Linked DNA regions of Kluyveromyces lactis. The protein of the gene in region 3 purifies or fractionates together with the protein of the main gene of each other region. This does not show direct contact. Links are inferred from orthologs where the notes say so. Each region holds a gene or a part of one and is shown on either strand. Other genes may lie near its edges. The genes, in order: MRT4, LSG1 and ALB1.

Evidence for each region.
Region 1: the proteins of ALB1 (region 3) and MRT4 purify together in Saccharomyces cerevisiae (affinity purification with mass spectrometry; 3 studies listed by BioGRID, with this or other methods). This does not show direct contact. The link is inferred for Kluyveromyces lactis from reciprocal best matches to the Saccharomyces cerevisiae genes ALB1 and MRT4.
Region 2: the proteins of ALB1 (region 3) and LSG1 purify together in Saccharomyces cerevisiae (affinity purification with mass spectrometry; 3 studies listed by BioGRID, with this or other methods). This does not show direct contact. The link is inferred for Kluyveromyces lactis from reciprocal best matches to the Saccharomyces cerevisiae genes ALB1 and LSG1.

What each region holds. Positions count from the first base shown.
Region 1 is NC_006038.1:1,184,253-1,186,352, forward strand, and holds MRT4 (mRNA turnover protein MRT4), read right to left. Parts: upstream 1,274-2,100; coding exon 557-1,273; downstream 1-556. Other genes in the region: SHU1 (Shu1p), read left to right, coding at 1-463. UniProt on the Saccharomyces cerevisiae protein: Component of the ribosome assembly machinery. Nuclear paralog of the ribosomal protein P0, it binds pre-60S subunits at an early stage of assembly in the nucleolus, and is replaced by P0 in cytoplasmic pre-60S subunits and mature 80S ribosomes.
Region 2 is NC_006042.1:641,379-644,764, reverse strand, and holds LSG1 (ribosome biogenesis GTPase LSG1), read left to right. Parts: upstream 1-887; coding exon 888-2,834; downstream 2,835-3,386. Other genes in the region: RRT2 (diphthamide synthase), read right to left, coding at 1-725. UniProt on the Saccharomyces cerevisiae protein: GTPase required for the nuclear export of the 60S ribosomal subunit. Acts by mediating the release of NMD3 from the 60S ribosomal subunit after export into the cytoplasm.
Region 3 is NC_006041.1:1,345,293-1,347,501, forward strand, and holds ALB1 (Alb1p), read right to left. Parts: upstream 1,121-2,209; coding exon 638-1,120; downstream 1-637. Other genes in the region: ribulose-phosphate 3-epimerase RPE1, read left to right, coding at 1-501; DUF5427 domain-containing protein MTC1, read left to right, coding at 1,781-2,209. UniProt on the Saccharomyces cerevisiae protein: With ARX1, involved in proper assembly of pre-ribosomal particles during the biogenesis of the 60S ribosomal subunit. Accompanies the pre-60S particles to the cytoplasm.

The DNA.
Region 1 (2,100 bases), on a different chromosome or scaffold from region 3:
AGCAGTTGGCGTTAAGGCTCGAAGTTTCTTCGAGCAAGATCTACGGGAAAACAAGACGCATTTCTTTAACAGTATTGATGATATAGTCAGGGGACGATCCAACGTGCGGATTCTGTTCCTTGATAAATTACAGTATTTATATATGTACTTGACATATGTCGAGATTGAGCTCCAGAATAAAGGAAACACATCGATGTGCTATGAAGAAATTATCATCTACGGTTTAGAGTCCCTGTTAATGACGAAAGAACAATTGGAATCAGAAGAGACACAGAAAACTCTTGATCTGTCAATCTCCCAGCTGCGACATTGTAACCTCATCCTTCATGGATCGCTTCGACTGGAAAATCAGTACGCTGTGCGTATCAGAATGGTGTCAGCGACAGATCTGGGAATGATGTCTCAAGGTTGGAAGAATCTGACCGAATATTGGCAGTACGTGTATTCGATAAAGGATTCCTAGAGAAGAGATTAATGTACAAAGGAGAAATATATAGGTTATGATTATATATATATATTTATAGTTTATCACTGCAATGCTTTCTTATTTTTGGATTTATTTCGAATCCATGTTGATATTGATCTGTTCCACACTAGAAGTTTCGTTATCGTAGTATGCGGCAACCTTCACCCTGAATTCAGCAGCTGCTATACCAAATTGTTTCAAGATCAATGCTTGAGTAACATCTAGAGTTTTGCCCTTTTCACAGACCAAGTATGGAGATTCGATGGTAATCTTACCATTCTTAATTTTGGTTGGAATCTTGAACTTGTTTCTTAGAGTTGGTTCCAGAGAATGTATCATAGGCACATCTTCTTCTTCTGGGATTTGACCACCACGAGAGTATACAATACCGGCTGGAATGGTAAAAGACAATGGAGCCTTTGATTTTGGTCTGGAGAAATCAGCTCTCACATATGCCTTGAAGTAATCTTCCACTACATCGACAGGTTCGTTGGTAAATAATAGACCAGTAACACCAGAACAGTGCTTACATAGTTTGGCCAAGTTCTCCTTGTACTCTTCCTCTGGCTTTTCACCTAACGCTTTCACCAACACCTTCCTCTTACCCATGATTAACTTGGATCCAACCCAAGAACTTCTAATCTCTTGCAAAACTGGAGTTCTCACATCTTCCAAATGTAAAACCCAAGCGTATCTGAAAGAATCCAAGGCTTCTCTAACTTCATCGAATATCCTTTCCTTGTTCTCTCTACCCTTCTTATCGGTTTGGGCCAATGTAACCAACTTTGAACGCTTAGATCTTGGCATCGTATCTGGGTTGGTATATGTAGTAGCTTGATGATAAAGAGTAACGAAAAGTAAACAATTATCAGAACACTATTCAATTACAGAAGAGAGATAAATAAAGAGGAATACAACTGATAGAATATAGCGATTAGTACTGTTGATCAGTTTAAACTATGAAAGGTCCATCGAGTAGATGCGATGAGATGAGCTTTCTCAAACTGAAAAATTTGCGCCTTTCTTTTTCTTTCTAGTTGTGAGTCACGTGATTTGATTTTTCCAAACGGAAAGTAACGACCTCTGACACAAAGTGAATCGGTAAGACATATACCGGCTCTTTTGCAATGCTCTAGGGCCATTCTCATAAGCTCGGTTAGAGAGGTTTATTCTAAGGAACTGCAAAACCAAACTCCGGTATGAATTCCCTTGACTGATTTCTGAGTCTCTCACTCATTGCCAATGAGACAATAGATCTCAATTCAACACAAATATCAAGACTAGAAAGGCACAGATAGGGCATGATCGTGTATCGGGCAAGTAGATATAGTGGTAATGATTTAACCTATTACCGGAGATGTATTGTAAATGGGGAAGTAAACTTAGTCACGTGACTCATTACTTGTGGCGACGGGTATTGTGTATATTTTCCTCAGATAAAACCGCAGTGTACCGGACCAAAATGTACCTTAAAAGTTCAGAGTCAGGAAATTGCAATCTCAGTACATATTTAGCAGGAAACAAACTAGTTGGTTTGATATGAACAGCCGGCGAGTTAAACATACCTCTTGTATTGCTTGCCAAAGTCTAACAACCTCTAAGATACCAATTATTAAGGTGGTAAGAGATACCGG
Region 2 (3,386 bases), on a different chromosome or scaffold from region 3:
CCGAACTCGCCGGTCCAGCACTCCAAAGAATGTTTGAAATGAAAGATTTGTTCATGGTCATTCTGAACATTTATAACTTTGATGTCTGCATTTGGCACCTCAATATAATTTATTGTTGAGGAGTCGAAATACGATGGCTCCACCTCCTCTATAAAGCATATTTCACCATGTATGATATCAACAGTAGCAAAATCCCCATTAGTAGTGGTTAAAAGTACGAGATTATCCAGCAATGGAGAAAACTGGAGAGACGTTATTAGACATGTGGGATCAAATACTTGAAGGTTGTTCAATAGTTTGATATCAATTGATGAATTATCATCGTCGACAGATATCGTCCACAGAATCATATTACCGGTTGAATGAGCTGTTGCGAGTAAAGTATCATCGAATGGATTGAGCTTCAAATCTAAAATTGCCCCATAGGTTTTTATGCTAGAAAGAAGGTTCAATTCTTTATCATAAACCTCAATAGAGCCAGTTCGATTGCCTGAGTCCTTATGCAAGAGATAGGTACCCACAATGATAAATTTCTCTCTTAAAATACACAAGCAACATGGAGGAAGACGCGTGGTAACCCTTTTATCAGCTGCAGTTTCTTCCATTCTGCAGAAACTCTTGACTTCTAATTTTGTCGCTCCTCTAAGGTGGTATGCAATACCTATGTTGGAGTCGTACTCTGCATCCTCATCATGCGGGTGCTTTTGTAAAGATTGTTGAGCCATCCATCTGTTCTAGTTCAGGTTTACCACACAATTTCTTTTTTACACTTTACGTACTAGCGGAAAATTTTAATATGTTAACCAGCTCATCTCATCATAAGCAAAGCATCAGCACAACAATCTTAGCAGTTAACGGCAGGTCTACAAGCAACACGGACTAGCAGCATGCCACCAAAGGAAACAACAAAGAAGTGGAAACCTCCAAAGGGTCCAAAGCCTATTCAAAGGAAGAATAAAAACACTATTGGGTTAGGTAAGGCAATTCAAACTGCAAGACGTAAGGAAAATGAAGTGCAGTATTTGCCAGATGGTGAAGAACGTTTCACTACCGATAAGCACGAAGCTAATTGGGTAAAATTGAGATCTGTTACTCAGGAATCTGCATTAGATGAATTTTTGAGTACTGCTGAGTTAGCAGACAAGGATTTCACAGCGGACAGACATTCTAATGTCAAGATCATCAGAATGGATAACGGTGCCGATGCAGCCACATCCCAGGGATTTAGTTTGACCAATGAGCAGAAAAGTAAGATCAACGAGAAGCAGAGATTACATGCTAGAGAGTTGATTGTCCCAAGAAGGCCTAAGTGGAATGAATCTATGACCAGATTTGAATTAGAAAGGTTAGAAAAGGAAGCATTCTTGGAATGGAGACGTAAATTAGCCTATTTGCAAGAAGACAACGAGGATTTGTTATTGACTCCATTCGAGAGAAACATTGAAGTTTGGAGGCAGTTGTGGAGAGTTGTTGAGCGATGTGATCTAGTAGTCCAAATCGTGGATGCCAGAGATCCATTATTATTCAGATCCACAGATTTAGAGAAATATGTGAAAGAAGTGGATGACAGGAAACAGAATTTACTTTTGATCAACAAAGCGGATTTATTAACAAGAAAGCAACGTATTATTTGGGCCAAGTACCTTCTCTCGAGGGGCATCTCTTTTACATTCTTTTCTGCTGCCAAGGCTAATGAAATATTAGAGAGACAAGAGGAACTAGGGGATGAATACGTTGAAGAAGAGGACGATGAGGAAATACTGGCTACAGAGGAAGAAATTGAAGAACTTGATGGGGAAGAAGTGAACAAAGAAATTCTGGATAAAATTAACATACTGAAGATCGATCAACTTGAAGAATTGTTCTTAGATAAAGCGCCAAACGATCCGCTACTTCCTCCATTGCCCGGTCAAGAGCCAATCATACAAATAGGTCTAGTGGGTTATCCAAACGTTGGTAAGTCTTCCACTATAAATGCCTTGGTGGGTGCCAAGAAAGTTTCTGTCTCTTCTACCCCTGGTAAGACCAAACATTTCCAAACTATCAAGTTATCTGATAAGGTAACGTTATGCGACTGTCCAGGTCTAGTTTTCCCTAATTTTGCATACAATAAAGGTGAATTGGTGTGTAACGGTGTTCTACCGATCGATCAGTTACGTGACTATATTGGGCCATCGACATTAGTGGCAGAAAGGGTCCCTAAATACTTTTTGGAAGCCATTTACGGTATCCATATTCAGACCAAATCCGTAGAAGAGGGTGGGAATGGTGAAGTACCAACTGCACAAGAATTACTCGTTGCTTATGCCAGAGCTCGTGGTTATATGACACAAGGTTTTGGTGCCGCAGATGAATCTCGTGCCTCTCGTTACATTCTCAAAGATTATGTGAACGGTAAACTCCTGTACATTAATCCACCGCCTCACATGGACGATGATACGCCATATACCAGAGAAGAATGTAAGGAATTCAACAAAGATTTATACACGTTCAGTAAATTACCTATCAACAGACAAGAGCAACTTGCAGAAGCTGCCAAACACAAAGGTATACAAGATTTGGATCTTGCTCGCGATTTAAGTCGATTAACGTTCTCTGCTCATATTGGTGGTGATGGTGATAAAGTACAAGCTAAATCTGTCAACCATGGTGGTAAACAAGCAGCCTTGTACAACGTAGCTGATGAACTTGACAAAAATTTCTTCCATTTGAACGGTGTTCAAGGCAGACTTACGAACCCTTTCCATAAGCAAACCGTCGCCAACGAAAATGGTAAGAAGCATAACAAGAAGAACAAGAAGAGTAAGAAAAAGGCTTCCATGTTTTCCGATTAATGTAAGTACTATCTAAATTCATCCTAAACTCTTATATATATATAAATCCACTGTTTGCACAGTCTATTATCCCCATTCATTATGGAAATGTAACTGCATATCCTTTATATCTTCCTTAGCTGCCCTGCTTCCGGTTATAAGACCTATGGTTAGCATGCAACTTGTCACTGCATTACCCGGTGTTTACTGAAAAATTTGATGAACCAAAAGAAAAGGATACAAAACTTGGTTAAAGTTGGTTTACTTTATACTTGACCTCAGTACATGGTCCAGTTGATAAGTATTCTTGTCATTTGTGGTTATCTTTTTGGTTCCTAGCTCAGCAAACAAGGGCTCTTAAACACATTTCGGCATGTTCAATTATGGTTCGCGTTGTGGTTATCATGGCGCAGACTTATTCCACGCATGTAGAAGTAAGCTCAAGATGCCCAGAGCTGGGATACTCCCATTTAACGCCCTTTTCGCTAACAACAACTGAATTCCTACAGTTTGTAGTTTGATAGTAGGTGGGCGGAAATATTACCCATTTAATTGGTTCAGTAGTTTCCTCTG
Region 3 (2,209 bases):
AGAGCATTCTTCGATTGTCATATGATGGTTAGTGAACCTGAAAGATGGGTCGAAGATTTTGCTAGGATCGGTTGCGATCAGTTCACATTCCATTACGAGGCTACAAAGGACCCGGTAGCGTTGGTTAAGCTAATTAAGAAGCATGGTATGAAGGCTGCCTGTTCTGTGAAGCCAGGTACCCCTGTGGATGTGTTGTACGAGTTGGCACCATCCCTGGATATGGCTCTTGTAATGACTGTCGAACCGGGTTTCGGTGGCCAAAAATTCATGGCCGATATGATGAGCAAAGTGAAGGACTTGAGAACTAGATTTCCTAATTTGAACATTCAAGTCGATGGTGGTCTTGGTAAACAGAATGTCGAACTTGCTGCCGAGGCAGGTGCCAATGTCATTGTTGCCGGTACCTCTGTGTTCCGCGCGCACGACCCAGCAGATGTCATTGGATTTATGAAAACCAAGGTCAATGATGCATTAGTGACCAAAGGTTTATACGAAAAGTAGTAAGTACCTAAGTACATATACGCACTCTTTTTTATGTCAGAATAATATTTAATGAACGATCCGTTTAAGATCTATCCTAGTATACAAAATGTTTATATAGACAATGCAAACCCCATTTAACGATTTTTAAGACTCTCTACAAGAAATACTGACCACCTAGAGTTGTACCAGAACCTGTCTGAAGGGATAAACCTTGAGATTGAATATCTTCCAACACCGTGGAAATAGCCTCTCTCATCTTTTCCAATTGTCCTTTCTTGGTTTCCTTCTCCTTCTTCACAACAGGCGCATCAATCTGCATACCACCGTTTTCCTCACTTTGAGATTGTAGATCAACTAATAGTTTTCTTTGTTCCACGTATTTCAAGTTACGTTCGATCTTCTTTGCTCTTTTCTTCGAAAGAGTCTTGGTCGTAAGAGCACCAGAGGTCGAATGCTCGCCTTTGTAAAGATCCAATGGTATACTCTTCAACTGACCAGATTTAGATGTTCCTGAAGATCTTGCTGGTGCCAATAAACCCTTCTTTTCCATAGCATCTCTCTTGGCAGCACGTTGATGAACCTTACGGTTCAAGTTAACCTTTTGCTTTGGCCTGTTAATGGAGTTCTTAGATGGCATCTCGAATTTTAGTACTGTGATTAACCGTTAACTTGTAGTTCCAGGAATACTAGCCAGTACTAAGAGTAACAAGTAACAAGATAGCTAGCACAGGTGAATAGTAACGGGGGATCAAGTACATGGTATGGAGATGCATTAACTTTTCAACAGATTCGCGATGAGATGAGATGAAAAATTTTAGAAAAGAAACGGCAGTACAAAATAGATACGGTATTAGTTAATGAAAAATGCTAAGATTTAAGCCAAGACATGCCGACATTGGTACTGGAGAGCACCATCTATGGAAGGGGTAAGAATAGGTGGTGATAAAGGCCACGGTGCTCATTACATTTCGGCTAACTGCTCACTTTATGTATACCAGCGTTATTTCATGGTAATGAAAGTGACATAGTTACCCGGATATTTAAATACGACCCACCCTTAGAATGGACCAATACATGAAAAAAACACACGGTAGTTGGAACCATGACAATAGAGAAAGGATAGAAACTATATACTTGTGTTCACAAGGATTAGGAGGCTAGTTTAAGTTCAACCGTTGGAGTTTTGTCTTGCCTTTCAGCGATAATTTTCTAGTTTGAATATATCGATTCTTGATTGAACAATTCGTATCAATATTCAAGTTTTATCGACAGTAAAGACTTAAAAAGAAAACACCAAATGACTAGTGATGCCGATGATGTGCTAGAGTTTTTAGACTCTTTACCAGCCAGTACTGCTAATAACACTAAGGGAAAGGGTAAGGTTAGTGGGAACGGCGGCCAGGATGAGGATATTATGGAATTCTTAGACGAATTGGAAAATAGTAACCTGGATATTAAGAAGAAACCGTCCAAAAAGGACAAGCCACAATCCTCTAAGAAGCAAGAGAAAGAGAAACCGGAGGAGAAGCCAGAATCGAACGAGAAACCTGTAGAAGAGACAGCCAGTAAAGAGAAACCGAGTGAACAGAAAGGAAAAGAAGAACATGTGGCAGAAGAAGGTGAAGAGGCAGTTCAGGACCCACTGGCGTCAATTTCCAATTGGTGGTCATCTAGCGGTTCTGCTACAGTATCCAGTTTCTGGAACAAGACCACAGAACAAGCCAAT